Linked DNA regions of Tamandua tetradactyla. The protein of the gene in region 1 interacts with the protein of each later gene in a pairwise test. Links are inferred from orthologs where the notes say so. Each region holds a gene or a part of one and is shown in the gene's direction. Other genes may lie near its edges.

What was found.
Region 2: the proteins of ABI3 (region 1) and EVL interact in binary tests that used the Homo sapiens proteins (3 or more experiments, as listed by UniProt). The link is inferred for Tamandua tetradactyla from reciprocal best matches to the Homo sapiens genes ABI3 and EVL.
Region 3: the proteins of ABI3 (region 1) and WAS interact in binary tests that used the Homo sapiens proteins (3 or more experiments, as listed by UniProt). The two-hybrid records come from large-scale screens. The link is inferred for Tamandua tetradactyla from reciprocal best matches to the Homo sapiens genes ABI3 and WAS.
Region 4: the proteins of ABI3 (region 1) and NUP58 interact in binary tests that used the Homo sapiens proteins (3 or more experiments, as listed by UniProt). The two-hybrid records come from large-scale screens. The link is inferred for Tamandua tetradactyla from reciprocal best matches to the Homo sapiens genes ABI3 and NUP58.

The regions. Positions count from the first base shown.
Region 1 is NC_135332.1:30,417,846-30,425,381, forward strand, and holds the start of ABI3 (ABI gene family member 3), read left to right. Parts: upstream 1-4,522; 5' UTR 4,523-4,840; coding exon 4,841-4,957; exon of another isoform or gene 4,958-5,280; intron 5,281-7,536. Other genes in the region: GNGT2 (guanine nucleotide-binding protein G(I)/G(S)/G(O) subunit gamma-T2), read right to left, coding at 1,566-1,691, 2,124-2,207. UniProt on the Homo sapiens protein: May inhibit tumor metastasis. In vitro, reduces cell motility.
Region 2 is NC_135338.1:61,272,162-61,279,879, forward strand, and holds the start of EVL (ena/VASP-like protein), read left to right. Parts: upstream 1-4,704; 5' UTR 4,705-7,718. UniProt on the Homo sapiens protein: Ena/VASP proteins are actin-associated proteins involved in a range of processes dependent on cytoskeleton remodeling and cell polarity such as axon guidance and lamellipodial and filopodial dynamics in migrating cells.
Region 3 is NC_135353.1:121,599,798-121,607,383, reverse strand, and holds the start of WAS (actin nucleation-promoting factor WAS), read left to right. Parts: upstream 1-4,572; 5' UTR 4,573-4,679; intron 4,680-7,586. UniProt on the Homo sapiens protein: Effector protein for Rho-type GTPases that regulates actin filament reorganization via its interaction with the Arp2/3 complex. Important for efficient actin polymerization. Possible regulator of lymphocyte and platelet function.
Region 4 is NC_135330.1:190,396,437-190,404,180, forward strand, and holds the start of NUP58 (nucleoporin p58/p45), read left to right. Parts: upstream 1-4,728; 5' UTR 4,729-4,927; coding exon 4,928-5,034; intron 5,035-7,744. UniProt on the Homo sapiens protein: Component of the nuclear pore complex, a complex required for the trafficking across the nuclear membrane.

The DNA.
Region 1 (7,536 bases):
AACAGCTCTTTCCAACATGTAAAGTTAGAATGGGCATAGCCCAACCACCCCTAAAGACTGGGAGAAAGATCAAAAGAGAAGGTGAAGTTATAACAGAGAAGATAGGATTTAACTAAAGAGCATGACTGCTGAATCATTATTGATATTTCTACTAGTCTCCAGTGCCTTGGAGCAGCTAGAAGGAAAAACTTACAATTGTGAAACTGTAACCCATACCAAAACTCTGAAATCTGTTCTATAACTACCTGTTACAATGCACTTTGGAATCTACTGCTTTTTTGTGTATATATTATATCTCACAATAAAAATGTAAAAAAGAAAAAGAAAGAAGTCTTGGCCCTAATCTCCGTCTCCAGCCTCATGTTAACACTTCCCACCCACAGTTTATTGCCCTGAATGGATTACATTTTCTGTCACCTCCAGACTGTGCACTAGGGTTTGCCTACATCTGGAGCACTCTTCCCTTCTGGCTTGTCCCTCTTCAAAAATCATCTCAGTGGAAATACTAGGTCAATGAGAGGGAGGGGGTAAGGGGTATGGTATGTATGAGTTTTTCTTCTTTCTTTTTATTTCTTTTTCTGGAGTGATGGAAATGTTCTAAGAAATGATCATGGGGATGAATATACAACTATGTGATGATATTGTGAGCCATTGATTGTACACCAAGTATGGAATGTTCATATGTTACAGATGTTAGTGTTTGTTTCGTTGTGTCAATAAAAATATTTTAAAAATGAAACAAACAAAAAAATCATCTTAAAAGACACTTCCAAGAAGCTCTCCCTGACCTCTCCCCAATGAACTAGGATAGCTGCTGTCTGCTGTGTCCCCTCACTACCCTTGACTTCCCCAGTAGCACTTACTGACTTGATTGCAAATTGCTTGTTTCATGTCTCCTCAGCTCAAATTCCGTAAGAGTAGCAAGCATGTTAGTCTTATTCACTGTTCTATCCCTAGTGCCTGGGATGTAACAAGCACTCATCACTGCAAGATAGATCACGAAGTCACAAAATCCTGACTTTACAGACTCTTTTTGTCCTCAGGCCGTCGGGAGGATCTAATGACCAGGAGGAGGCCCGCAGGTTAGGACCTGAGATTGGGGGAAAGGCCCTCCCCACAACTTTTGTCCCCAAACTGTGCTGCTGTGGAAACCCATTTCCCCAGGGAAAAGGTAGGAGGGATTCTATGCAGGAGGAAATGAATCCTCAGGACTGCCCTCTGGGGTCTCGGCTTTCGCACTCTTCAGACCCCAACACGCAATCTGGAGCCAACTGCTAAGTCAGTAGAGCTCTCCACACAAGGTTTGCAAGGCGGATCGGCGGTGACCCAGGAGGTGGAGGAGATAATGGGAGAAAAGAGCTGAAAGTGGGATTGGGAAATAGATTCACGATGCATCCGGCCAGGCATATTTACTCTTTATGTGACTGAGGGCGCTGGGACTTCTGAGGCCGAGGGAGAAAGGTGAAGGTAGCTGGTTCCCGGGGGGTTACCCTGGGACGCTTGGTTCTGGGTGAGGAATGGGGCTGAGGAGGGACAGACATTCGGGGGGAGGGGCTCCGGTGCCATTAGCTTATCCTACAGGTGCCTTTCTCCCTGAAAGGATTCTTGTCCTCAGGGATGCCTTTGAGAAGGGGGTCATTTCCTGCTTGGGCCACCACATAATCCTTGATTTCCTTTCCCGTCTTGGAAACCTGTGAGGAAACAAAATACAGCCCCCGTTTGTTTCTCGGGATCTGTGCCATGGTCAGACACACGAAAACAGACTTCTGGAGCACGGTGGGGATAGGGGCCAGAGAGATGAAAGATGAGGGGGCAGGCAAGAGTGAGAGGGGCATGAGAGAGCTCCTTGAACTACAGAGACTAATTCTTGCCTTTGGGGAAGACTTTGGCCACACTCAGCCCAGAAACTGAGTTCTGCAAGGCTCAGAGGTGCTCTCTTGTGCTCAGAGAAGGGTCTCCACGTGGTCAAGCCCCAGCCTCCTCCTACAGGCTCCTGCTCCTTCCACTGCCCAGGAGAGGTCCCTCATCCTGTTTTCTATCGCTTACACCTTGGTGCCCAAGCTCCCCACAGGAACGGGAAAGGTTGAAGAAGTGGAGAGTGGGATGGGGATAAGAAGGCTCACAGGAGCTCTTGGGTTCCTCACTTCCTTCCTCAGCTGTTCCACCTCCATCCTCAGTAGCTCCTTCTCGCTGAGGTCCTGAGCCATTCTGCCCTGGAGAGTTCAGGTCCTGGAAAGTATTCAGGATTGTAAGCCCCTGGCCATCCTCTGCATGCCTCACACCCCAACTTCGTTCCTCTTCCCTGCCATATTCAGACCCCTCATCACTCAGCATACACTCCTGCATCCTTCCAGGCCCCAGGGACTAAGGCACAGTGGGAGAGGAAGCTACTGGCCTGGTGGAAGGCACAGTCTTTGCTCTTAGATAAGGGCCTGTCTAAGGAGGAAACAGGAATCCAGGGCATGGAAAAGGAACAGAAAAGGAATTCTGTCAGTGAGGAAGATTTGGAAGGCAAGGCTATGTCCTGTCTAATGACTCAGGTTAGAAGTTTTCTTTCTGACTACCAGATCCTGGCAGAGGAGAGTGTACCCTAGTGGTTAAGGGCATGGGCTTTGGGATCTGTCAGATTTCTGCTCTGGCTGCAGCTCTGCCGCTTCCTTGTTGTATGGACTTGGCAAGTTACTCAACCTCCCTGAGTCTTCGTTTTCCCCTCTGTAAAATGGGTATAATAATAGTACCTCCCTCATACAATTATTGTGAATACTAAGAAAATAATGCATACAAAATAATTTGATTCATTGCCTGGCACATAATGAACACTTTAATATATTTATTATTATTACCAATATTCTCATTGTTATTATCATTGCAGGGCTATCGAGAAGGCCTCCCTGGTAATGCCAAAACTAGATCCCAGCCTGGCGCAGCCTCAGACCCTCTCACCTGCCAAGAAGCAGCCCGCCACTTCGAGTCACTTGGCCCTGGACCCAGACGAGATGGTGCTTGAGCCTCCTAGCTCCTCAGCAGCTGAAAATCTTGGATAAAGCAGATGGTCTGGGAGCCAAAGTCTCTGCTGCCTAAGCTGATCATAAGCTCAAAGTTCTAAGCCCATCCACCGGCCTGAGCCTCTGAGCCCTCACTGCCACGGAGCAGAGCTGATGTTCTTCCCACCAGAAAACTAGGAACAGAGGCTACCCTCGCTCTCTCTGCCCCAAGCCCACCTTCTCATCACCCTGTTTCCTGTACTGCCCCCCACATCCTTCAGTGACCCCCTCCCCGGCTCAGAGTCCCACTGACCTCTAATTTCCACTCTCTAGCCTCACATACCCCCTGATCCCCAGCCTTCCCTCTCCCACCCCTGAGCTTATTCTGAAGCTGTTTATCCCAATAAGGCAAGTCCTAAACCACCTCCTTACGTCCTTCATCCAAGAATCCTTCATGTCCCCGGCAAATTTCCCCTTGTGAGGGTCTAGTTCCACCTTCATTTACTCAATTAATAAAAGCAGATTCCTTGCCTGTGAGGTGTGTGCCAGTTAGCACTCTAATGCCTGTGTCCGTACTCCTTGGCCTCCAACCTCCCCGGGAGCTGTGGGGTCCCCCTTACAGGCGCTTCCTGAGCATGGGACTCAGGTCTTTCCCTTGGTCTCCTCCCAGGACCACCCTGGGTCCCTGCCGTTTAACAGACCCTGAGCTCCTGCTCTGGCTGGCTGTGCTCCAGTGACGAGGGGTCCTCTTGAGGAGAAGATGTCCTCAGGGATCACTGTGATCAGGGGAGTCCTCTTAGTCTCCTGCCTCTAGGGTGACAGACTGGGCAGGGGTGGGGGGGCTGGAGAGGAAGCCCATGGCCATTCTGCCTGTTCACCTCCCCTATTTCAGGAGCCAAGTCCTACTCACAGCTGTGAAATCTAAGAATGTGAGCTTGGAAGGACCTGGAGGTGGTTAGGCCAACTCACCTGTTAAAGCATGGCATGGAGCCCACGCTCCTGTGCCCGGCTCAGTACTCCGGCCACTGCTGTTTCCTAAACCTGACAAGTTAGTCTGGAATTTGAACGTGGTGCTTTTCCAACTCAAGTCCTTCTCGTTGCCTAATCTGAGCCCCTCACACTGCACTTGGTCAGTTTCATCTTGTCCAGATTTCATCAGGCACAGAGCACGTAGAGCAGCTCTCCACCAGCTCCTTGTCGTACCTAGCCCTTCAATGACTTGGTATCACTTCTCAGAGAAGCCCTGGTTGTGTCCCTCCTGATGTCGGACCCTGGTGCCTCTTGCTGTCGGCATCGGCTGTTTTCCGCTGGTTGCGCACCAACCACCGCACAGGCCGCCCCGGCCCGGCTGGCCTCCGGACCCGAGCCACCCTCCACGCCCCATCCCTCGTGACTCATCCCTGAGCTTCCCAAGGAAGCCCCCACCCTCTGCCCTTTCCTCCCCCTTCCATGAGTGGAAAACCCATCTCCGCCCCCCATCGCAGGCCAGCCCTCTTCCTCCTCAGTCTGCCATTCCATCCCCCCACCCTGCAGTTTCCTCTCTAGGACCAGGGAGCAATCACAGCCACCCTGGCCTTGGCTTCCTCTGCTGGGAGAGATTGGGGCACTGGGCCCCAAAGGGGCCCCTGGCTTCCCCCTTCATCTGGGCAGGGGACAGAGCGTCACAGGCCCAGGGAGCAGGGACCGACTTCCTCTTGTCCCGGAATGAGTCTCCTGCCCTTCGCAAGCAGGTTTGGGTCTCTCACGCAGAGGAAACCAAAAGTAGTGAGAGGGAGGGAAGGCAGAGCGACCAATCAAGGGCAGGGTGAGGCTCAAAACTGGCGGGCTCCCCGGGGAGCCGGCCAGAGGCTGGGGCAATGGCGGAGCTGCAGCAGCTGCAAGAGTTTGAGATTCCCACAGGCCGAGAGGCTCTGCGGGGCAACCACAGCGCCCTGCTGCGGGTCGCCGACTACTGTGAGGACAACTACGTGCAGGTAGGAGGAGCAGGCGCAGCCTGGGAGCCCGTCCCCAGACGCAGGTCACGGGAGCCATCCCAACAGGTGCCAGGCAGGGCTCGCCAGATGGGGGACCTTGGCCGAGAAATCTGCCCACTCCAGGCTTTGGCTTCACCCTTGCCCTCCCAACTTTTAATCCAAACTTTAATGGGTTTTAATTTAAAACCCATGCCACCCAAGCCCTCGCTGCACCCCTTCTCCATCCCAGAGCCTCAGAGATGTCCAGGGCAACACTGTTTCATCTTTTATCCTGCTATCAGGCCTCACTCGAGGTTCATCGCCCCCTCCCCTTCCACTCAAATCCAGAGTCCCCACGGACTTGTCCTCGCTCAGATATTCGCGCCATTTTCAGGCTGGCTCTCTGGTGAGACTTCAGAAGAACTTCCCAATCATTGTCCATTGAAATGGACAAGGGAAGGAGGAATAAACCTCTCTTCTTGACATGGTGAGAGTGCAGACACACAGCAGGCGAGGCTGCGTTTCAGACGAGGGCTTATGCAGAGGCGGGGGATGAACAGCATGACTTCTGGAGCAGGGTGCCAGCAAAAGATGAGGATGGTGGTGTCATTTTAGAATAGTTTGTAAAACTGTGTGGTTGTTCCAGGACAGAGAATGTAGATTCCCTCATCAAGGGAAGAGAAGTGGGAAATGTACCAAATATTGAGCACCTATTATACCATGAACCCTCACAATGACTTGGTAAGGCAGGTATTCGTATTCCTGTTTTATAGATGAGGAAACAGCAGCTCAGAGAGGTGAGGGGGCTTGTGGACGGTCATACAGCTCAGAAATGCAGAGCCGGCCGTCCACCCGGGACTCCCTGTCTTCTGAAGCTGAGCTCTTTGCTTTCTATTATTCTGCCTCTCTGTGGGGCATTTTTCTTTTTCTTTCTTTTTTTTTTTTTTGGCATGGGCAGGCATCGGGAATAGAACCCGGGTCTCTGGCATGGCAGGTGAGAACTCTGCCACTGTGCCACGATTGCACCACTCTCCCTGACTGACTTTAAGACAGTATTCTCTGTCTTAATAACTACAGGTCAAACCTGTTACTCCTCAGGCAAAACTTCATTTTTCTAACTTGTACTAACCCAACTGTAAGAAGATGCCTGGGAACCTTCCTGGCCAGTTTTTCCTTTTGTTTTGTTTTTTTGGTGGGGGGGGCGGTGGGGGGATTGGAGGTGGGAGGGGACTAAGTGCTTACACGAAAATAGCAGATTAAAGAGCGCCGACAATCATAACACTTAGAATACTCTGTTCCTTCGTCTTCACCTAAGTCCTATGGGTGATCACCACCCCCAGTACACAAATGAGGAAGCTGAGGTTCTGAAAGTTTAAGTCATTTTCCCAGAATCTCCAAGCTAGTGGCAGAGTCTGGATTTCAGCCCAGAAACCTGGCTCCAGGGACTACCCTCTAAACCTCTAGTTGAAATTGCTATCCCAGGTACAATTTCAGTCCCAGGTACAATGTGCAGACATTGAGACAGCTCGTAGAGCAGCTGGAACGTGACCTGCAAACCAGCCCTGGTTCTCACAGCCAAGACAGCTCCGCTCCTCCTATCAGCAAGGACAAAAGGGCCTCTCCACTCCTCCAATAATCTGCAGCTCAGAGAACGTCTGGGTGGGCTCTCCTTTGCATAGGTAGTGTGCACACAGGACTCGGGGTCACAAAGACCAGAGACCAATTTCCAGCTCTGCCACCTTCCAACCGTAACACCTGTGGCAAGTTTCCCTGTTGGATTCTTATACCTTCTCAGAGGGTGGGCATGTGGGTTAAATGTGATAATGAATTAAACCATTTAGCCCAGTGTCTGTCTCTAAGAAGGGCAGAATAAATGGCGGCTATTACCATTACTATTATTATTATTATTATTAACGGCAGAAAGAAAAGGGACATTGCGAACCATAAAACTCAGTACCTTCCAAAAACACCCAGGCTGGAAACCCTGGGCTCCTGCTTCCTTTGCACAGCATCCTTTTAGCCCACACCACCTGCTACCTTTCCAGGCCTCTTTGAGGAGCTTCAGCTGGGGAACAAGTGCCCCAGTTTTGACTTCTCAAAACTGCTTCTAAACAAAGTCTGGTTCCCAGGCCCTCCGCTCTTCCCTCCCCGACCCAACCCCACCCCAACCAGGTGTCAGGAAACCCATGGGGATTGGGGGAGGGCAAGTTGGGGTCAACCTCAGCCCTTGGCTCTGTGGAGGTCTCTGTTAGGGTCGACCGAATTTACTGACAGAATAATTTGCATGATGAAAAGCAATCAGCCGTGAAGGCGGAGCCCAGACCCTTCTCCCTCCAGACCTGACTGTGGGCCAAGGACAAAGCCAGGAGGGGGCGGGGCCCAGGCTGTAGCCTCCCAGAGCTGGGCCTGAGCAGTCTCTTCTCCTATTGGCTCTGACTGTTCCTCCTGCCAGTCCTGGGATGGGGGAGAGGGGGGAACAGCTTGTTAATCCATGTGGAGACCAAGAAGCCTGTGGTTCTGCCTGGGCCCTCATTCCCTGCCCTACTGTAGGAAGGTCCTAAACTAGCACAGGGCCTGCTACCCTTTCTGGTGTTAGCACC
Region 2 (7,718 bases), on another chromosome or scaffold:
ACTGTGGTACTTTCAGCTCTACCTTCCTACAATTACGAGTGTCTAAATTCTCTTAGTTGCTTGGGTAGTAATTTGCATTTATGGATCATCTAATTATATGGTCTAGATGAAGAATTTTCCCCCCTTGTGACTGAATCTTTCTCCTTTGTGGCAAACATTATTATCAATTTGTTCCTTATTTTTCCAGTGATATTTTATGCAAATACAAGCAAATGAGTGTAGTTGTTGTATATGTATACATGTGTGTATTCTTTTTAAAAATTTTTTTTTAACTTTTTTATTGTATAGTATAACATATATACAAAGCAAAGAAATAAAAAGGCAATAGTTTTCAAAGCACTCTTCAACAAGTAGGTACAGAACAGATCCCAGAGTTTGTCACTGGGCACCATAGTGATCTTTCAGAATTTTCCTTTTAGCTACTCCAGAATACAGGAGGCTAGAAGACTTAAATATTTTTTTATCACCTCAATCACCTTTTTTCTTTCTTCTTTGTGAAAAATAACAATAGCTATTATTGTATTTGATCCTCATGATTTATTTGTGAGGGGATAGGTCAGGAATTATCATCCACATTTGATAGGTGAACAAACGGACTCCAAGAGATAAATTGACTCACCTGGTAGGGAGGAGCCCAGATATTCAGTCCCTAACTCAGTGTTCTGGCCACTCACCAACTGCATGGCAGAACCAGGATTCAAGAAGACCTTTAGAAGAAGAACAGCCAGTTGAAGTGGGGAAAAAAATGAACATAACAGGTAATATAACATTTTAGACACCCTGCATATTGATTTACCATTGTAGATTATCATTTTAAGTTTTTAGGTATATATGCCCTGTCCCTGACTCTTTAAAAGGCCTTAAATGTACCGGACTATTCTTTGACCTCCCTCTCCTCCCAGGGATGTAGCAGTGCTAGACACATAGCAGGTGCCCAGTAAATATTCCTTGACTGGATAAAAGCGTTCCATGCTTTTGTCTTCTTGATTTTCTCTCCATTCCTGAAACGACTTTCTTGGCAAATTTCTGAATATCAGGGTGACATTGGAGCAGCTGCATATTTTCATTCAGCAGGATAGTCTGCCCATTTGTTTGACACTTGCCCCAGAAAGAGGACTGCTCACTTAATCCATGTGCACTTTCTTATGAAATCTCTCAGAATCCACAAACCTTGATATGTTTTGAATAATTCTGCATGCCAGAGCCATAGGTAGAAGAGTAAAGAGGAGGTAAGATCCTTCCTTTCATAGAGTTGTCACTTCCTGGAGCTTATGGTCCTGGTGGAGTTCTTTGTATTTCTGTTGCAAGATTTTGCATCTTTGCTGTGTTTCATTAGTGATCTAAGAACCTCACACAGAACAATTGAATTGTGAGAGAGACTTGCTCCAAAATGTGCCTAAAATCATCAACTTCTCACTTGTTTACTACTGTCACCTGAGTCCAAACCCATCTTCTCTTATCTAGACTACTGCAATGGCTTCTAACTGGTCTCCCTGTTTACATTTTCCTTTTACAACTGCCCAGTGGGTTCCCTGGCTGATAAAGCCCTACTTACCTCTTATCTTCATCCTTCTTGGCCCCTTGTACAGCTTCTTTGCTCTGCATGTAATGCTCTTCCTTCATATTTGCATGAATGACTGCTTCTTGTTATCCAAATCTCAGCTGAAATGCCGCTACCTCAGAAGGGCCTTCCCTGTCACCGTTTCCAAATTTAGTAGCCCCCAGATTACTCTCTCCTACATTGCCCTATTTTGTATCCTTTTCCTTATTTATTAGGTTCATTAGAATGTAATCACCATGAAACTGGGGGCTTTGACTTCATTACTCCTCTCTTCACAGAAGCTAGAATAGTTAAGTTTCTAGCACATAGCAACCCTTCAAGTTTTGTGGAAGGATTGAAAGGTTAATTTTCAGTAACCTAGCACAGATATTTAGAGTGTGCTTATATGATGAGAAAGATGAATATAGACTTGAATTCAGAAGTAATTACCAGTAAAGTCCTACTTTTGAGTATTGGTTGATGGAAAAACATATGTATTTTATGGTAGTATTTCACTTAAAATTGAGGTGAAGGATGGTTTTATTTAAGACTTCTATTTTAAAATTAAATATACTAAAGAAGTTCAGTTGAATGATGAAATTTGGGGGTAAGACTTAGTCCAAAGTATAGAACTCACATTTAAGATTTCCTATCACATTTAAGATTTCCTATCAATTCAGCAGGTTTAATTTAGTTTTGTTTTTAATTTTTGGAAAGGTTAATTCAACAAGAATAAAAAGGCATTCAGTAAATCCAAAGCCTATCAGCTGCTTAACTTGTCCTGTGCCTTGTGAAGGCTTAGAAAGGACTGTAAACCTTGGTCAGTGCCTGTTTTAGTTCCCTAAGCTGCCAGAATGCAGTATGCCAGAAACAGAATGGCTTTTAAAAGAGGAATTTACTAAGTTGCAAGTTTATGGTTCTAAAGTCATAGAAATGTCCAAACTAAGGCTCCCACAAGAGGTTACCATCACTTAAGAAAGGCTGATACCATCCGGAATACCTCTGAAACTGGGAGGACATGTGGCTGGTGTCTGCCAGGGTCTCTGGCTTCTGGACACCTCTCAGCCGGAAAGACACATGGCAACATCTAGCTTTCTCTCTTCGTTTCATAAGACTTTTCTGGGGGTGTTTTCCTTTTTCATCTCCAAAGATCTCTGGCTGTGTGGGCTCTGCTGGCAGTAAAGCTTTGTCCAAAATGGTTCCCTCTTAAAGGGCTCCAGTAAGCAACCCCACTTTGAATGGGTGGTGACACATCTCCATGGAAACCATCTAATCAAAAGTTACTACCCACAGTTGGGTGGGTCACAACTCCATGGTAACAATTAAAAAGATCTCACCCAGCAACATTGAATGAGGATTAAAGAACATGGCTTTTCTGGGGTACATGATAGTGCCAAACCGGCACAGTGCCTGAATGCTGTCCAGAATTGGGGGATACTGGCCCAAAGCATCATGAATTTAGCTTGAAGCTGCCCTTAGCATGCTGTTTTTCCTCGGAGGGGTCTGTGCATTTCTGGGAGTGAGGACTAGTGTCTAGTGGAGATTATGGGAAACTGAGCTCTTCATGTCTCCCCCATGCCAACCCCACTAGTCCCTGTCCTCAGTGACACGTGTGCGTCTCGTTAGAGATCTGAGACAGGAAAGTGGGCAAAGGTTACTCAGAACAGGACAGGATGTAAGATTTTAAAATGGATATTGATTATCAATGGGAATTTTGGAGATTTAGTGCTCACTAGGGGCTGGTTTGAGTCAGGAGGGGTGCATACTAGGGTTTTGAAGCATTTGCCATAATATTGTTGATTGTGGCTCACAGGGGCCAGGTATTTCATTTCTGCAGCATTCCCACAGAGCAGGTGCTACCTTCTCCCATCTTAAGAGGCTGAGACTGGGGAAAACTTGCCCCTGCCTTCTCAGGGAACATGAATAAAACTAGACTCAGCACCACACCTTTCCATACCCACTTGTGAGAGAAGGCATAAAGCAGGTTTTCAAGAAAAGGTGAGCCAGGAGTGGAGGTGGGCTGGGACCAGCCAGGGGTCCATGAGGAGACATGCATGGGAGGTGGGTTGAGGGCATAATGGGCCACCTCACAGAGGAACCAAGACTCTATTCTGCGGACCATGAAAAGAGGTGTGGGTTTAATGGAAGTTTGCCAGAGTAGGAGACTGTGCATAGAAGACTGTACAGGAAGAGGTGAGCCTGGCAGGGGGACCAGGCAGAGATGAGGAGGCTCTTATTTAGAGGGTGGAAGAAATGAGAAGTAAGGGGATAGAAGCTGGGCCATTGAGGAGACTATAGAGAAGCTCTTGTTACCACGTAGGCCCCTGCTTATCTGAAAAATCCTTGGTTGGGCCATGAGAAAAGAATAGTATTTTAGTCACCATAGGAACTGATTTTCACTTTTTTCTCCTGTCTCACATCTGTGCACACAGTGGGGAATGTGTATAGCTCAGAGTGTCCCACACAGTCCTGGCACTGGCAGGGACTGCTGGAGTCATTTCACGGGGTGTTTTCAGACTGTGTCTATGTCTGTCCCTACTGAAGAGAAAGTAAAGCGTAGCAGCAGGAACACTGGGGGTCCCTCCATCCCTTCTCAACCAGAACTCTTCTGCTTTTATCAGTTTTGTATTTTAGGGTTCATATTAAGTGTTATTTCAAAAAGAAAGCAAAGACAAAAACCAAAATTCTGAATATCTGGCTGTTCCTTCGGGGTAGAAAGGGAAATTGAGCCCCGGAGTAATAACAACTTTGTCTAAGTCTTTAGTCATTGCTAGATGACTTAGAGTGACTCTTTTTGTTGTTTAATCATTGTGTGGTCACACAAGTGCTTTTTCAAGTCCTGGGCTGGAAAGGTGTAGAACAGTCATGGAACCTCCTTTATGCCCCTGTTCTTGACACTTTGGCCAGGGCCAGGTGGATAAAATAAACCAGAAGGACTCATAGATGCAGGTCCCAAAACCCCAGTGGGGCATAAGGGTTAAAAGTGGTGGAGTCACCTATATTCTGGAGTAGCTAGAAGGAAAAATCTGAGAGGATCGTATGGTAGCCCATGACAGACTCTGGGATCTGTCCTGTAACCACTTGTTGAAGAATGCTTTGAAAACTATTGCTTTTTTATTTCTTTGCTTTGTATATATGTTATACTATACAATAAAAAAAAGTTAAAAATAAATAAATAATGGTGGAGTCAAACCAACCTGAATCCCAAGTTATTGCTCTGCCATTTAAAAGCTCTAAGACCCAGGGCAACTTATTAGATACTTGTCCTTGGTTTCTTTATTAGGAAAGAAATCTCATAAAATTACGTCTAAAGTGCATTTTGTGCTGGGATTTGGAGATTTTTCACCATTTCTATCCACTCGTCTCTCTACTAGGACCTTATGAATTTTCATACAAGATATAACCAGCTCTCCAACAGGAGGTTTGAATCACTGGTGGAAAACAGGCACTGTCTAGAGATTGTCCATCCCATTAGACCTTCTGTTACACTGGACCTACCTTGTGGGTTTTAGCAATGCTAAAGCAAATTAGACCAGTTAGCACTGTGCCAGATGCCTAGAAATTCAGACTACTACTCTTCCTCTTGTACTTTGCAAAGAGAGCCGAGAATGTAGACTTCCTCAAACTAACAAATCTATCAAAAGTTATTTGTGTATCTATGGTTTGCTAGCTCTGCCCTCAAGGTTGTGAAGGCTCAGTAAAAAGATGCTCTGGTAAGTTCCCCCAAGAAGTTTGCTTCTGGCTGACTACCAGCTGCTCCTTTCTCCATCCCACCTGAGTAGATCCAGGTAGTCATATAATTGTATTTGGTCTGGGTGATTGCTCTTCCTAGGACTTGGGTAATCTCAAAACTGTTGTTTTATTTATTTTTTTAACCTAGAATTTAGGACAGTGGTTTTATACATAATACATATGTGTCCAAATAAATAAACTGCTAGTGAACAGACAAAATGCTTCAATTAGGAGGTATCCCTCATCATAAAGATGAGCCTTCCAGCAGTCCACGCTGTCCAGGGAGAGGCCATCTTGTGAGATGATAAAGATGATGAATGATGACGTGTCTTTATACACTTGATAAAGGATTTTACAGCTCCATTATGGGGTCCTGACAGCAATCTCTGAGAGAGGCCTGGGCAGTGTTACTGTTATTCTATATTTAGACCTGGAGACTCCAAGACTCAGAGAACTTAAGTAGCTTGCTAGCAATCGCAAAGCTAGTATATGGCAGAATTGGGACTTAACACTGAGTTCTTTAATGACTGAATCCCCTGTTTTCTGTGATAACCATGATTCTGCCAGAAGCTCTCAGCGGAGAGGGCCCAGGTGGAGGCTTGTCAGGAACATTGTGGAAGGCATTCCTGTACCAGCTTAGTACATCATAACTGTTTGGTTTGAGGGACCACAGGAGTCCCCAGAATAGTGTCCTCACTAGTTGGCCTGCCTCAGCTTGTCATTATCGCTTCATTTCTTTGAGATGGAACAAACTATAGACAGAAGGCCGCCTCTGGGCACCTTCGTGTGAACACAGGTACTAGATTGCCTGTCTCCCTAATAGAAAACTGAGGCACATGGAGGTTCACTCTACAGACCATTACTGAATAACTGTTCTGGTAAGATATGTTCAAGGCATGAGGAATACAAAATTAACCTCACACAATCCCAGCCCTTGATGAACTCACAGGTTTCCAAGGGAGTAAGGGGGGAGGACAAAATGCCAGCTTGGTATGCAGTTAGCAGCACAGAGGGGACCACCAACTGTCCTAGGGACAGCTCAGGGTCCTGGGGAGGCAGCCAGCAGCCGAGGGACAGCATAGGCAGCACAGAGGGTGCAGGTCAGGATTAGGGAGCAATGAATAATATGGTCTGGTTGGCCCATGGACCCCAGAAGGAAGATCTAGGCATATTTTGGGAACTGGAATGTCTGGCTGAATTTTGAGGTTTTAGAAGTGTTTTGATGAAAGAAAATTGGAGCAATAAGATTGTGCAGGCCAGGCCAAGGAGTTTTTACTCATCTTGTGGGCACCAAGGAACTAAAGCAGTTTTAAAGTGGGAAAAGGGGCATCAATCAGATTTAGAAAGGTTGCTCTACAGATTTTTAGAGAAGGGACAGAAGAAGACGACTAGTAACAAGACTGACTGAGAGATGATGAAAGCCATGGGCATGGGGATGGGGGAAAAGGGCCAGAGTCAAAGAAGTCATCCTAAGGAGAATCAGAATCAGTGACTGATTACATTTGTGGTGTGAGGGAAAGAACAGAAAAAGTTAAGAATGACTCATGGGTTTTTATTTGGGATTTGTCTCCCTTCTTTTTTCAAGATTTGCAATGCAAAGGCTGAAGATTCTCCTTAATGGCAAGTTTCAGAATACAGCCTCAGCTCATTTGGCAAATCTTGCCAGCTTGGGCTTTACAAACTGGTAAACATTTCTCTCTTCTTTTGGCTTGCGTCTCATTTCTTGTTTCTTAATTTCTGTTCTGTTCTGAAATTATTATAGTAGTTGTACGTCAAGGAATTGATGAGAACCTAGTATATATTAGACACTCAATAAATGAATAATCAAATAGATGGGGACACTAACATGGTGACATGCAAGGTAATTTGATTGGGGTGAAGATGAGCACAAAGTGTGATTGTTGAGATTCTGTTGCGTCTTATGCATTTGTGTGAAAATGAAGCTTGGTAATGGAATGGTAAAGCACAAAATTTAGGAGAATTTTTCAGTGAACTGACTTTGGGTAAAAGATAGCCTGTGTATCATTATTTGCTGTATTCACTTATAATTCTGGTTATGCTTGGTCATTAGAGCAGCCACAGCCATGGGAGGATGAGGTAATTAGGTAGTTCATAATGGAACAGGTTGCTTTCTCATTCCTTTAAGCTTTTCCCACTCTCCTGTAAAATTCTGGGGGTAATAGTGAGGGAGTGGTGGTGTTTCATGATTACCCATGGTCCCAGGCATGCCCCAGGTCCAACTTATTTCACTAGACTAATCCAGCTCCCAGCCTGGAGCCTTAGCACACACTGCATTAATCAGACTTGCTGGAATGATCACATGGTTTTCTCGCTGCCTCCCTGTTAACTGCCGCTTGTCAGCAGCTGGCAGAGCTGGAGGCTGCAGGCCCATGTCTGCAGAAAACCTTTTACTTCAGGATATTGGGAGTGTGTGGAAACCCCACCT
Region 3 (7,586 bases), on another chromosome or scaffold:
ATCTCCCATGTACCCCCATCTATCTTTTTTTTCTAATTGAGAAATCTTCACACACATACATTCTACACATGGTGTACAATCGATGGCTCACAGTGTCATCACATAGTTGTGTATTCATTACCATGATCGGTTTTTAGAACATTTGCATCACTCCAGAAAATGAAATAAAAAGAAAAAAGAAAAAACTCACACATACCATACACCTTACCCCCTCTTTCATTGACAACTAGTGTTTCCAACCCCATCTTTGATAGTACCATTACTAATGAAGCAGAAAAAAGTTTCAAAAGGATAAATGCTTTTAAACATTGAAAATGTTTTTCAGTCATCAAAGATAATCAGAAAGAAAAATTCATCTTTAAAATATTTTGCTTTGATTGTAAAGGAAGACCATCATTGGCAATAAATAAATAAACATGTTTTTGAAGCTGCCTTGACCAGCTCTAACACAGGCCATGCTAACACCATGTCTACGTACATATTTATCATCCAATTCTTGGAAAGTTCCATTGATCATAAGATTATAAACACACATATTGTGTTTTCCCATAGTGGCCAAACTTAGCAAACCGCCACCAAAAAACCAACAAGAACAAACTTTCTCTTCAAGTTGCCTGTAAACAAGGTCTAAAGTGTGGTTGATGGTGGTGACAAAATTCTTATAATAAAGGGCAACTGACCTACAGTGTGAGCTACTTTTATTGGAGGGTTTTTTTTTTTTAGCATTTTAGTCTATTCAAATAGGCTAACTCATAAGCTAACAGTTTTCTTTTTCTTTCCTATTTTCTTTAATTGCATTTCTTTTGGGTGCATTTCCCCCAAAAGAGATTATATAGCTTATTGCATGTTTGGTTATACCATACTATATTCATTAGAGCAAGATTTATTTTGGGTGCATTTCCCCAAAAAGAGATTATATAGCTTATCGTATGTTTGGTTATACCATACTATAGCTATTAGAGCAAGATTTCCAACAAATTAATGCACCTTTCACCTCCCATAGCCTCTGAGTGGGGGTACTAAAATGAAATATATTTTAGGAATCCAGCCACCATTGAAAAGATCCAGTGATGAAGTGTCCACACTTCAACTGAACTTTTGCTTTGTTTTACCCATACACACCCCCAAATACCCACACACTTAAAATAACAACCTTCCTTAGCATCAGAGCTGATGTTTTCACATTGGATGCAGCACCTGTTATACAACTGGAGTTTGCAAGCTAACTAAGGGGAATTTGCTCAGCCTGGTGGAGGCAAGGAGCTCAGGGCTCAGGCCTCCTAAACCTTTGGTCACTATGTTAAATTATCAATGGTCTCCTTTCCTTCAGTATTTAACTGACTTAGGACAGTGAACTGGGGCCCCACTGCTTTATCTAAATCATATGTATCCATATCCTACAAATTATGTATTTATTTATGCATATTTGCATGTACTTTTATAAGGCAGGTTATATATATATATACATAATTTTCAAATTGTAAACGTCAAAACAGGTGACTGAAATGGTGCAACCTCTGTGGAAGGCAGTTTGGCGGTTCCTCAAAAAGCTGAATATAGAATTGCCATATGACCCAGCAATACCATTGCTAGCTATCTACTCAGAGGACATAAGGGCAAAGACACAAACGGACATTTGCACATCAATGTTTATAGCAGCATTATTTACAATTGCAAAGAGATGGAAACAGCCAAAATGTCCATCAACAGACGAGTGGCTAAACAAACTGTGGCATATACATACGATGGAATATTATGCAGCTTTAAGACAGAATAAACTTATGAAGCATGTAATAATATGGATGGACTTAGAGAACATTATGCTGAGTGAGTCTAGCCAAAAACTAAAGGACAAATATTGTATGGTCTCACTGATATGAACTGACATTAGTGATAAACTTGGAATATTTTGTTGGTAACAGAGACCATCAGGAGATAGAAATAGGGTAAGATATTGGGTAATTGGAGCTGAAGGGATACAGACTGTGCAACAGGACTGGATACAAAAACTCAGAAGTGGACAGCAAAATACTACCTAACTGTAATACAATTATGTTAAAACACTGAATGAAGCTGCATGTGAGAATGATAGAGGGAGGAGGGCTGGGGACATAAATGAAATCAGAAAGAAAGACAGATGTTAAAAATTGAGATGGTATAATCTAGGAATGCCTGGAGTGTATAATAACAGAGACTAAATGTACAATGTACAAATTTTAAAAATGTTTTTGCATGAGGAAGAACAAAAGAATGTCATTATTGCAGGGTGCTAAAAATAGATGATAATATTTTAAAATGTCACCTTATGTGTGAGACTAAAGCAAAAAATCCTTATTTGTTACAAAATTTATATTTTGACTAGTGCATTTCCTAATGTAACTTATGTAGATAGTTTGATTGAACACCATAAGTACTTGGAATCTCAGGTAGGACATGAGATTTTGTTGGTTTCTCCAGAGTGATGCCCTGATGAATCCCAGAGTGATTCGATCAATGAGTGGAAAAGTATTTGCAAAGCCCCCTTCGGAGAATGGTGAGAATGGGGAGAAATTCAACTTCCCCAAGCTGAATTCTTGATATTCTCACAAGCAGTGTGGACAACCAAAGCTATAGGCTGAGCCCCCAGGCTTGGGGGTTGTTCATATGAAATTTAATCCCACAAAGGATAGGTCAAGTCTACTTAAAATTTAGGCCTAAGAGTCACCCCCAGGAGAGCCTCTTTTGTTGCTCAGATGTGGCATCTCTCTCCAGCCAACATGACGAGCAGTCTCACCACCCTTCCCCTCTCTGCGTGGGACATGACTCCCAGGGGTGTGGACCTTCCTGGCAACGTGGGACAGAAATCCTAGAATGAGCTGAGACTCAGCATCAAGGGATTGAGAAAAACTCTAGAATGAACTGAGACTCAGCATCAAGAGATTGAGGAAACCTTCTCGACCAAAAGGGGGAAGAGTGAAATGAGACAAAGTGTCAATGGCTGAGAGATTCCAAACAGAGTTGAGAGGTTATCCTGGAGGTTATTCTTACGCATTAAGTACATATCATCTTGTTATTCAAGATGTAATGGAGAGGCTGGAGGGAACTGCCTGAAAATGTAGAGCTGTGTTCCAGTAGCCATGTTTCTTGAGGATGATTGAATAATGATATAGCTGTCACAATGTTACTGTGTGATTGTGAAAACCTTGTGTCTGATGCTCCTTTTATCTACCTTGTCAACAGTCAAGTAGAACATATGGAATAAAAATAAATAATAGGGGGAACAAATGCTAAAATAAATTTAGTTTGAAATGCTAGTGATAAATGTAAGCGAGGGGTAAAGGGTATAGTAGGTATAATCTTTTTTTTTCTGTTTTCTTTTTATTTCTTTTTCTATTGTCTTTTTTTTCTTTTTCTGAATTAATGCAAATGTTCCAAGAAATGATAAATATGCAACTAAGTGATGATATTGTGAATTACTGATTATATATGTTGATTTTTTGGTTTCTTAATTTTTTAATTAATAAATAAATTTGAAAAAGAAAAAATATTTACTGATCTCTAAATGTAACAATAAGTGCAACATAAAGACACTGATCATCTTGGACTGTAATCTGACAGCTCAACTGTACAGTTTCCATATTATTTACATTATGAATATTGTGACTGTGTTTACTGATGAGCTATCTCCTGTCTTAAATACTCATGAAACTACTTCTACATTTCATTTTCAAATCAAACAAAAGAAACAGTGAAAAAAAAAAACAGGTGACTGGCTATATCACCTGTGATGTGTATTAAATAACAGGAGTCAATCTCAGCAACCCTTCAGGTCTAACCAGGCAGGCCTAATGCTCCGAAACCATCGCTTGGCACATCAAAAACTGGAGCGTGTTTATTCTTTTAAATACACTCTGTCAAAGGCCCCTCCATTAGAGCGTTGAACTGCTGTACACTTTGTATCCCTTTGGGCCGTATCTTAGTCAACTAATATAATTTTACTACTTTGTATCCAAATACCACAGGATGCCTCACTGCATCTTTTTGGTGTTGGGAGAGCCAAGCGTCCCACTGCGGCAGAATTTAATTTTATTAAAACCACTTCTGAGAGTTGTCCTAAAATTCAAACCGAAGGCAACGCTTTTTGTTTTGAGCAAACCACAGAATAAATGAATGCAGGAACGACGGGGGAAGGCAGGAAAACCCTAAAGGGCTTGTTACAGAGTTGTAACAATTGAATCACCCAGGACACTAAGTGCCACGCCCCAGCGCGTGATCTCACTTAAACCCCAACAGAAAGCACCATGCTCATTCCTTTTACAGATGAACACAATGACAGCCCGAGGTGGTTTCAGAACCCACCACCCTTAATCTTCAAAACCCTGCCTCAGCGGACCCTAACACTGGTCTGGCATCTACTGCGCATGCCCCGATTCAGTGGCCAATAAGAGTCCGGCACCCAGGAGTGGAGGCGGGGCTATGTTATTCTCCCAGAGCCCTGAGGCTTCAAAGCACAGCAAGGAGGGGAATTCGTTCACCGACCAATCAGAGCCCACGTCAGTCCCCGATCTGCTCGCACCCTGAGCCAATTGCCTGCTCCGGTGTGGCAAGAGCTTGTTCGAAATTACGGAAGCGAGGGGTGGGCGGTGAACGAAGTTAATTAAGATGGCGGATATGAGAGAGGCTGCGGGCCTGAAAGTGAGGTCCGCTCTAGGCGGGTGGGTGTCGGGAGGAATTGGGAGGCTTGGGACGAGTAAGATTGTGACATTCTCCTCTCCGTTTGGAGCTTGGGCCTGGCTTCTTGTTGGGATGAGGCAGCCTTTAGTAATCCAGCCCCGCAGAATAAAAGTGGTATGTTACAAGATGGCCGCCACCACCCAGTGCTAGGATCGTAGGCTGACTGTTTCATTCTTACTCCCGGGTGATCCGTCCCAGGCTGCGGACTTTACGCAATCTGGGGAGTGGGTCCCCTTGGGGTCAACACAGCCCTGGGGTCCCCTAACTGGTGTGTGGACAGTCCTGTGATCATACCAACTGAAAGGAGTGGACATTCCTAGAGCTACAAAGATTGGGATGCAGGGAGGAAGCACCCATCCAGGGAGAGTTGGGGGTGACTTTGAGAGTGTGGACAATGTAGGGACTGGGGGGAGGGGGGAGGGAACTCTGGACCCCCAGCTGATCCAGGTTAGCAGCCATACCGTAGAGCTATTGTCTAGCACAGTGTTTTCCTGTACGGGAGTGGGAAACCTGGTGGGTGGGACCTCTGAGGTTGGCCGGGAGGGCTCCAGGGCCATCTCACAGCACTGCAGGAATCTGGCCGGGTCCCACCAAGTGGACCTCTGAGATGGGCTTTGCAGCAGAGAAAGTAAAGAAAGGGCAGTGGGAAAGTGGTCGTGTATTCTGGGTCTTTGACCATCCAGGAAGGAGAAGGGTGAAGAAGAACTCGAGAGAACAGGGCGTGAATGCTAGGCTAAAGGGATAATATTTCATTTATCTAGGTTGCCCAGCTAATTCATAAAAACAGTAACAATAACGCATAATTATAATATGTCAAGCTCTGCCCTAATCACTTTCTATGAATTCTCATTTAATCTTTACAACAACCCTAACCACCATTGTTATATTCCCTTTGTGGGTGAGAGAACTGAGGCATTTGAGAGGTTGCCAGAAGTTACACAGCTGGTAAATGGCCAGCAGTAAAGCCAGGCTAAAAGGCTCAGTAGGGTTCTGACCACTGAGCCCTTCTTATCTCTACAGATGTCTCTGCTTTTCTGTGCACACCCTATACTCACCCCACCCCCACCAGGACTAAAAATCAGCTGCTCTCATAAGGGCCCTTAAAGAACCCATTTTTCCATAGTGAACAGTGTAGAGCCTTTATGGGAGGGGGTTAGGCCCTCAGCGTTCTGAGTTATTTTTCTTCTCCCTTTTCCCAGGGGATACCAGAGAGGCAGTGGTAAAGAGAGGATGAGTTTAGCTTTGTGGGAAGAGGATGGTATATTCACAGCATAGATATCTGGACTATAATTATTTATTCAGCAAATATTGATTTACCCTCTACCACTGCATGCAGGGTCTTGTGCGAGGTGATGAGGATACTGCAATGAACAAGACAGACAAGGATCCTGTTCCTACCTGCCCTTGGGATGTATTTTGGGAATCCTGGGGACATTTGTGGTTCTCACTGTGTCAGGGGTGCTTCTGGCATTGAGTCGGCAGGGACCTGCAAGGCTAGGGGACAGTCCCACAATACAAAGACTTACAACATCCATACATGTCATTTTAGGATGCTGAATGCAAACACTTATTAAAACGGAGCATCGGGTCTGAGGGTTGGGAGCTATTGTTTTCTTAGGTTGGGCCTGTCCCTAGGAAGCACCCCTCAGGGGTATGGAGGGCCATGAGGGGTGGGAAGGTGAGGGGAGAAGGATGGCATTGCAATATCAATTTTGCGGTCCTGGCCTCTATCTTGATCTTAAAGGACAGCAGTTGGACCCTCCCCATGCCTAGATCTCCTCCATGGACTCCATGTGGTGGTGACCAGCATGTGGAAAACAACCCGGGATCATAATACTGACTGTGTCTTACTCGTCACAGGGCTTGAGGCATGGAAATGGGAATTGCATAGGCAGTAATCTCCCCAAAGAAAGCAAACTAAGCAAAGATATGAACAGGAAATGATTCTCAATTTGGTACCCTTTGAGGCAGGCGTAGATGATGGGGGAGCAATGGGTGGGTGTAAATTATTGGGCATACACTGGTATTTGGGGGTTTGTAGGTGTTCATAATATTATAAGAAGTGAATTAGACTTTCTGCTTCCAGCTGTTTTGGGCTGCCTGTATTGTATCAGACCAACTCTCCTGGTGAAAGCAATCAGAAAAGTTGGATTAAGGTTCGTTTTTTAACCTATTTGAAAGCATGGGAGAGCAAATTATCTTTGAGGTCATCACCTCACCGAATGCTATCCAGTGCCAAAAAGCACTGTTTAATGGAGACGTATAAACCAGCTCCAATTTATTAATGCAGGTTGACAGAGTAATTAATACTATATTATAATATGAACAATGATACTAAATTCAAAAATTGCTGTATTACAGAGTGGGGAAACTCGTTTTATTAAGGACCCAAATAACAAAATCTGCTTTAGGATTTTTATTTAAAGAAAAAGATATAAGCCTGTTTGCTACTTAGAAATACAAACAGGAAATATGCAACTTTCAAGAGTGACATGCAACTTTTAAATATTAATTTTAAAAAATAGCACATGTAGCAGAGGTTTAGGGTTCCCTGATGTAGAGCTATAGGGACACATCTGGGGGCCAAGAAAGGAGTAGGAAGGTGGAGAACAAAAGACATAAAAAAGAAGCAGAATTTTATCTTGGCCGCCATATGGCACCTAACAGTTTAGGAACTGTTGACCTCTACTCTCCTGCTTACAAGCTATGTGTTGTTGGGCAAGTTGTCTAAACTTCTCTGGTTCTCAGCTTCCCTATCCCCTATGGGGATAACAGTAGTGCTTCCTTCATGAGGTTGTCTGTGCATATTATATGAGTTGATAAATGTAAGGCCCTTGGAAGACATAGCAGCAAACACTAAGTAAAATTAGACA
Region 4 (7,744 bases), on another chromosome or scaffold:
AGTCTTTTGAACTTGTGATTGGGGATTCTTATTTTAGCTTTAGTTTTTTTTTTTTTGCCCTTTAACTTTGTTTTTAAACAGTTTCATTCATGCACCATATAATTTATCCTAAATGTATAATCAGTGGCTCTTGGTATAATCACATATTTATGCATTCACCACCACAGTCAATATGAGAACAGTTTCATTTCTTCTGGGAAAAAAGTCCCATACTCCTTATATCTTTCTAGTATTGATATTTAATGACATTTAGCTTTGGTATAGTGCCTTTGTTACAATTAATGAAAGAATGTTACAATGTAACTGTTAACTACAGACCTCAGTTTGTATTAATTATATGTTTCCCCATATGCCACCCTATTATTAACACCTTGTAATAGTGGTGTACATTTGTTCCAGTTCATATAAGAACTTTCTTATTTTTGCACACTTAACCACCATTATCATCTACTCTAGGTTTTGCCAAGTTATATAGTCCCAGTTTTTATCCGTTAGCTTTCCTTCTGGTGATACACATGATCTAACCTTCCTCTCTCATACTCAGACTCAGCTGTGTTAATTACACTTACAGTATTGTGCCCCTTAATGTTCTATTTTGAAAAATTTCAAACCTACAGAAAAGTTGAAAGAGTGGTATAATGAGCATATCTTGCTTGTGGAATCATTAGTTTCTAACATCTTGTCACATTTGCATTGTTGATCTCTTTATATACATATCATTGTTGTTGAATCATTTGAGAATTTAATAGGATTTTTAAAGAGGAAGGACACTATCTAAATCTTTAAGATAAAACCTGTGCCAGTTTGAATCTGTGGTGAAAACCCATGTCCTTTAATCCTTATTCAATATGGCTGGGTGGGAATTTGATTAGATTCTCTCCACAGAGATGTGACTCATCCAATTGTGGGTATTAACCTTTGATTAGAGGGAGATGTGACTCCACCCATTCCAGGTGGGTCTTGGCTAGTTTACTGGAATCCTTTAAAAAGAGGAAACATTTTTTTTTTGAAACAGCAACAGAGCCAGGAGAACCACGCAGCTAGAGACCTTTGGAAATGAAGAAGGAATATGCCCCCGGGGGAGCTTCGTGAAACAAGAAGTCTGGAGAGAAAGCTATCAGACATTGCCTTGTTCACCATGTGCTTTCCAAGTTGAGAGAAACTCTGAACTTCATTGACCTTTCGTGAGTGAAGGTAACCTCTTGTTGGTGCCTTAGATTGGACATTTCTATAGAACTGTAGACTTGCAACGTAATAAATTCCCCCCTTTAAAAGCCATTCTGTTTTTGGTATATCGCATTCGGCAGCTAGCAAACTAGAACAGACCCATTCTGGGAAAACTTTTCAAAAGAGAGCCTTAACTGAGGACAAATATTTACATGTAGTTTCTTGAAGGTAACTTCTCCATTGGATATTTCTGAGATTCACAACCATGAATATTACAAATCCTTTTAAATAACTTCAGATTCCACTACCCTCCTATGTTAGAATCACTTAACTGAAGCTTCTCAAAGTATTAGCGTGATCTGAATGCATAGATGAATTGTGTACAAAACAAGCTTCTTCATAGAGTTTAATGCGAATAAAATTAGAAATGTTTTTAGAGTGCTATTGCTTTTCAGATAATTCATTCTGATTATGACATTAACAATGTCATTATCCAGCCAGCAAATCAGCAAAAGATGGAATTTCTTAACAGATGGAGTTTCTCAACAGGAAGTGAAGTGGCTTGCCTTAGAATTTAGAATCATTTGCTTCATCCTTGGAAAGCAGTAATTCACATAGAACTGACACATGGGTTCAGTTCCCATAATTTCAGACAGTGATATTTGGAACATCCCTTGTAATAAGGATTGGTTACTCTTGCTAGGTAAGGAATGCTAAGCCAAATTGCAGCTCTCCATGTTTTTGCCTGGCTAGAGGGTAGACTTTAGGCTTTAGTAGGCATTAAGCTCAGGTTATTGTCAAGTTTTCAACTGATAACAATTGGGATTATTGAAACTGCTCACTTTGATGTTATGGTTCTGTAGAATTTAAGGATGTAAAGTTTTTTTTTTCTTTCTTCTTTTCAATAGGACAAACAGAAGAACATATAGGAGATAAGATATAGTTTTTAAGGTTCAGTCTTAGCATTTGGTGCATCTAGACGCATGTGATAGAATAACTGTTCATCAAGTATTTCCAGTTTCCCTCTTGGTAGTGCTCCTGCCTGTGGGATTTTGGGGGGTCATTTTTTTATTGCAGCATAACTTGAATTACTCTTCCAGATACAAAGCAGAAATGTTATACTAAAATTTTTCTAAAATAAAATTGAAAGAATAATTTGGTTGTCAATTTGAATGGTGCTTTCCACACAAAAAAACATTTATTATTTCCTGCTTCCCTACTTTATTTTCCTAATAAACTTTTTATTTTAAAATAGCTTCATATTTGCAGAATTATTGCAGATAGAGTTCCTGTATACCCCATACCCAGTTTTCCCTATTATCTTGCATTAGTTTCTACTATATTTTTACACACTCTTTCCATCCAACTAATCTTATATATCTTTTTTATTAATAAACAATTTTCAGTATCAAGTATTTTGCTCTTATTAATTTTATGTGGTATTCTTCAAAAGTTTTGAAAAAGAATATTCTAGGGAATGAAAAGAGATAAGGAGCAGCTTTCTATCTTCCCACAAAATAATCTGAATCCATCTTTTGTTGTTTCAGTTCAAAGGAACTACTGTAGATTTTAATTTTTTTTTTTTTTCATGGGCAGGCACTGGAAATCGAACCCGTGTCCTCTGGCATGGCAGGCGAGCATTCTTGCCTGCTGAGCCACCGTGGCCCGCCCTACTGTAGATTTTAGCCATCACTGAAAATAACATTCTCTGTAAAACCCATATTTTTTCTTTTTCTGTTCAGTAAATCACTATGAATTTCTTTATAATAGTGTTCAAATATGTCCCATCCCTTTCTTATTTATCATTCCCATTGTGATCTACATAATGTTTACAATGCTATTTATCTTCGTTTTAATTATGGAAACATAGAGGTGGGAATGCCCAGGCTCAACACAGGAGAAAGTGTTGCATTAAGGGAGTTAAGAGAGATGAGGTGGGAAAGATGGGTCAAATGGACAACCCTGAGGGCCAGACCAAGGAATCACTGGGAGTTTTTTTAAATGCAATTTTGTTGGTATATATTATATATTGACATACCATATAATCATCCAAAATGTACCATCACTGATTCACAGTATCATCATATAACTGCATTCATCATCACAATTTTTGAATTTTCATTACTCCAGAAAAAGAATAAAAAGAAAAATAAAAGTAAAAAAGAACATCCAAACATCCCATGTCCCCATCTCTCCATCCCCATCCATTATTTATCCATTTTTTGTCTTTATTACTCATCTGTCCATATACCGAGGTCTATTTTAAAAAAAATAGCTAACATTTACTGAACAATTACAATGTGTCTTGCATTAAAAAAAAATTTTTTTTTTAATTGTGAAAAATATACACAAAAAAGCAAATTCCACAGCACACCACAACAATTAGTTACGGAACAGATTTCAGAGTTTGGTATGGGTTATAGTTTCTTAATTTTACGTTCTTCTAAAAGTCTAGCTGCTCCAAGACACTGGAAATGAAAAGAAACACCAATATAATGACTCAGCAGTCATACTTATTTGTTAAATCTATCTTCTCTGTTGTAACTCCACCTTCTCCATTGACCTTTCTCCCAATCTTTAGGGGTATTTGCCTATGCCCATTCTAACTCTTTCATGTTGGAAAGAGCTGCGGATAAAATGTGTTAAGGGGATGAAACCAGCTGATGTTCTGGAGAGGCTGGTCCCCCCGGGTTTCAGGATTTAACTGGTCTAGGAACTCAACGGAAGGTTGTAGGTTTCTGGCAAGTAATTATGGAATCTCTGGAGTTTTTGATCAAGTCTGTGTCAATGTAAGAACTGTATTTCAGGAGGACTAAAATCTGGTGGTCGTTTATGGAATGGATTTTGCCCAAAGAGATGGCAGGTAGAAAACCACTTCTGGGGAGAAATAAAGACCCACATTATGACGGCGGCGGCACCTCAAATGTCCCATCGTCACAAGATGCCGTCTTCGGAGTCAAATTTTTCTTACGTGACTAAAATAACGCTTAAATTTCGCCGTATATTATCCTTGCTTCTGTACTTTTCTTATCCCTTCCGTTCACACTATTTGACGACTTGTCTAAATCATTTTCGGTTCAAGGAGCTTGGACACCTGTGTTCCCTCAGCACCACGCACAGCCCCCGTCGCCACCCCAAATCTATCCGGGCGTTTCTGAACCCCCTATCAGTGGCTGCACCGCCAGTACTCAGTCTCAGAACGTTACTGAGCACAGAATCGAGGCTCAGCTCGTCGGACGGACAGCTGAATTATTATTAGTCCCCTTCTTTTTCGTAAACGGAAGGGCAGGTGGATGGTCAGTAGGGCCCGTCTCCACTCTAAGACTCTCCGTGCCCTTTTGGCAGAAGGCAGGATATATGCAATAATTGATCAATAAAACACACAAAATATAGATAACGTCAAAAACAAATGTCAAAATAGAACTAAAAGGAAAAAGAGTGGTTGCCTTTGCTTCTGCTTCAATCCTGCGTACTTATCCTCTCAAGAAAGCTCGGCTCGCCGGCCCCACCCCCGTCCCAGAGTACCATGCGGGGCGCGCCGACTCCACCCCCGTCCCAGGGTGCTGTGCGCGGCGGGCTCGCTCCCGACGAGCTGCGTGCGCGCGGCGTCCCACCCCTTTGGCCTGGTCGCTGGGGCTTGAGGTTCCCGCCAGGTCGGGCCTGGGCTACAGCGATGCTTCCCAGCCCGTCACGGCTTTGAGGCGAGAGGACACCCTGACTACTCTCAGCCCGTGGACGGCGCCGGGCACAGGGTGCAGCCATGTCCACCGGTTTCTCCTTCGGCACCGGGACGCTGGGCTCCGCCACCGTAGCCACCGGCGGGAGCGGCACGACCGGTGGCTTCTCCTTCGGAACCGGGACGTCTAGGTAATCGCGTCTCCCCGCCTTCCCGTCGCGGGTCCTCGGCCGTGGGACCCCCTATGGGCCTCTCTTCTTGGTTTCCATCCCTGTGGGGCTGGAGATTTGTACCGGCCGAGCCGAGGACCTCGTAGGCCGCCACCTGGCCCGGGCGCTGCTGGCGACCTAGTGGGGAGGAGGGCGGGCGGCCTCTGCGAGGTCTCCAGAATCCACGGAGGGGCCAGGCATTGTTCCCACAGAGTGGGGTCTGCGGGTAAGAGGGCCTGAGGGTTCCCACTGCAGAGCCTTAGGGAAGCGTCCGTCTTAAGCGTGGAATGAAAATGGAACGAATGAATGAAATAATAGCTTATCATGGAGTTTTAGAAAGAGCACTTAATGAATGGAAATTTGTAAGAAGGATGGTTAGGTTTTCTCTGATAATTCAGTTTCCGCTGCAGTGGGAATTTGACATATCATGGTGTCTTTTAGCGAGCTTTCAAGTCTTTGTGGCACATGGGACCCTTTCCGCCTTTAAAAAGTGTTTTTAATAGCATTTACTGGTAGTGATTTTGTACAGTTTGTACAGGTTATAGTGTCGTAGATGATGTTATTACTCGCATTGTGAAATTTTAATGGCAAAATGTAGCGTAGTCAGCCTCTTTGTACAACCTGCTAGTTTAAGTGGTGGCAAAATATAGCTAGCAGAGGTCCAGAAAGGGACAGTTAGGATGGTGAAAGATCAATTTTTAAAAATTTTTTGTTAAATTAGAGTAATTGTAGGTTTACAGAAAAATCATGCAGGAAGTACAGTTCCCATATGCCATCCTCCCACCAGTTTTCCCCATTATGTTTTGTTACCATTGATGAACCAATATTATTACAATTATATCATTAATTGTAATTATATAGTTTTTAAATTTAGTTTTATTGTGATATATTCACATACCATATAACCATCCAAAATATACAGTGCTTCACAGAATTATCATATAGTTGTGCATTCATCATCACAATAGATTTTTGAATATTTTCATTACTCCATGAACAGTAAAAATAAGAATAAAAATAAAAGTAAAAAAGAACACCCAAAGCATCCCATAACCCCTCTTCCCTCCCTATTATTTATTTATTTTTTGTCTTTATTTTCTTACTCATCTGTTCATACACTGTATGAGGAGAGTGTCAGTCACAAGTTCATAATCACAATGTTGCACCGTAAAAGCTGTATAGTTATACAATTATCCTCGAGAATCAGGGCTACTGGATTACAATTCGAAGGGTTCAGGCATTTCCCTCTAGGTACCCCAATACAACAAAAACCGAAATGGGATATCTACAGTCCAGAATGATCTCAACTCTTTGAAATCTCTCAGCCACTGAAGCTTTATTTTGTTTCATTTCTCTTCTTGCTTTTGGTCAAGATGTGAAAGATCATTTTAATGATGAAAGATTTAATCTTTAGAGTTCAGCATTTTGAAGCTAAAGGCTGAGAAGTTCATAAAATCAGGTATACAGAGGATGAGTTACAAGATACCTCCTGAAGTTTGAAAGAATAGGGCTGTAAATTAAAAAGGCAAAAATATCCTCAGGGTTGCCTTTGTTAAATAGTAGGGCTTGCAGACTACACTGTCAAGTCAGAAATCTGTGAGTTTTCCTTGATGACTCCTTTTTCACTGTTCCCACTTAATCAATAAGACTTGGTAATTTTATTTCTGTAATTTCCATTTGTGTTCATTTCCAGTGCTCTGCACCAAGCTATGGCCATTCATGAAACAAATATTTATTGAATTAACTCATGTGCTAGGCTGTGTTTTAGGTGTTAAGATACAACTACCCTTAGAATGAAATAAAAAATATCCTTGCCGTGGTCTACAAGGCCCAAATAACCTGGAACCTCTCAGACTCATCTTGAGCCTATCTTTTTATTTTATTTTGCTCCCCTGCAATGATCCAGATCCACCTTAAAAAAAAATAACACTTATGTTACCACCCACATAGCGGTACACAAATAAATAACTGAAATAAAGTTTTGAAGAAAGATACTTAACCTCCTTTCATGTGATGTTTTCTATTATGTTCCATTTCATAAAAAAATCGAAATACTGGCTGTAACCTACTAAATTGATTCTATGCTTCTCTAATGGGTCCCAGTCTCAGTTTGAAAAACTCTGCTCTGATGACATCAGCCTTTTCTTATTTCCTCAGATAGGTTTGCCCAAGCCCTTTCTCACTTTGAAAAGTCCATTCTCTCTATGTGGAATATTCCCTACTACTCCATGTACTTTACTAAGGCCTACTTACCTTTTTTTTTTAATGTGCCTCCCTACATATTTGTATATCTACATCTATTTATAACATGCACAGAGGCAGATATGCGATATGTTTATCTGGGAATTTTTGTTCATGACAGGTTTATTTTTTTTGCCTACCTACTTACCTTTTGAGACTCAAATGGTCACTTCCTGAGAGAAGCCTTTTCTGACCTATCTGCCTAGGGTACCCTGTACTTAGAGCACCTTTCCTGTAATCAATTGTATACCAGTTTGTATAATTACTTATTATTTGTTTATTATCTGATCCCAACTCTAGAATGTAAGCCCCATGGATGTAGAGAACTTATCTTTTTCACATTGTTTTTCCAGTGGATAAAGTGCTTGGTGCTCAGTTCATATCTGTTGAATGAATGAATGTCTGTTTCTCACACTGACTGGAAATTCCATGTGGGCAGTGACTAAGTCAT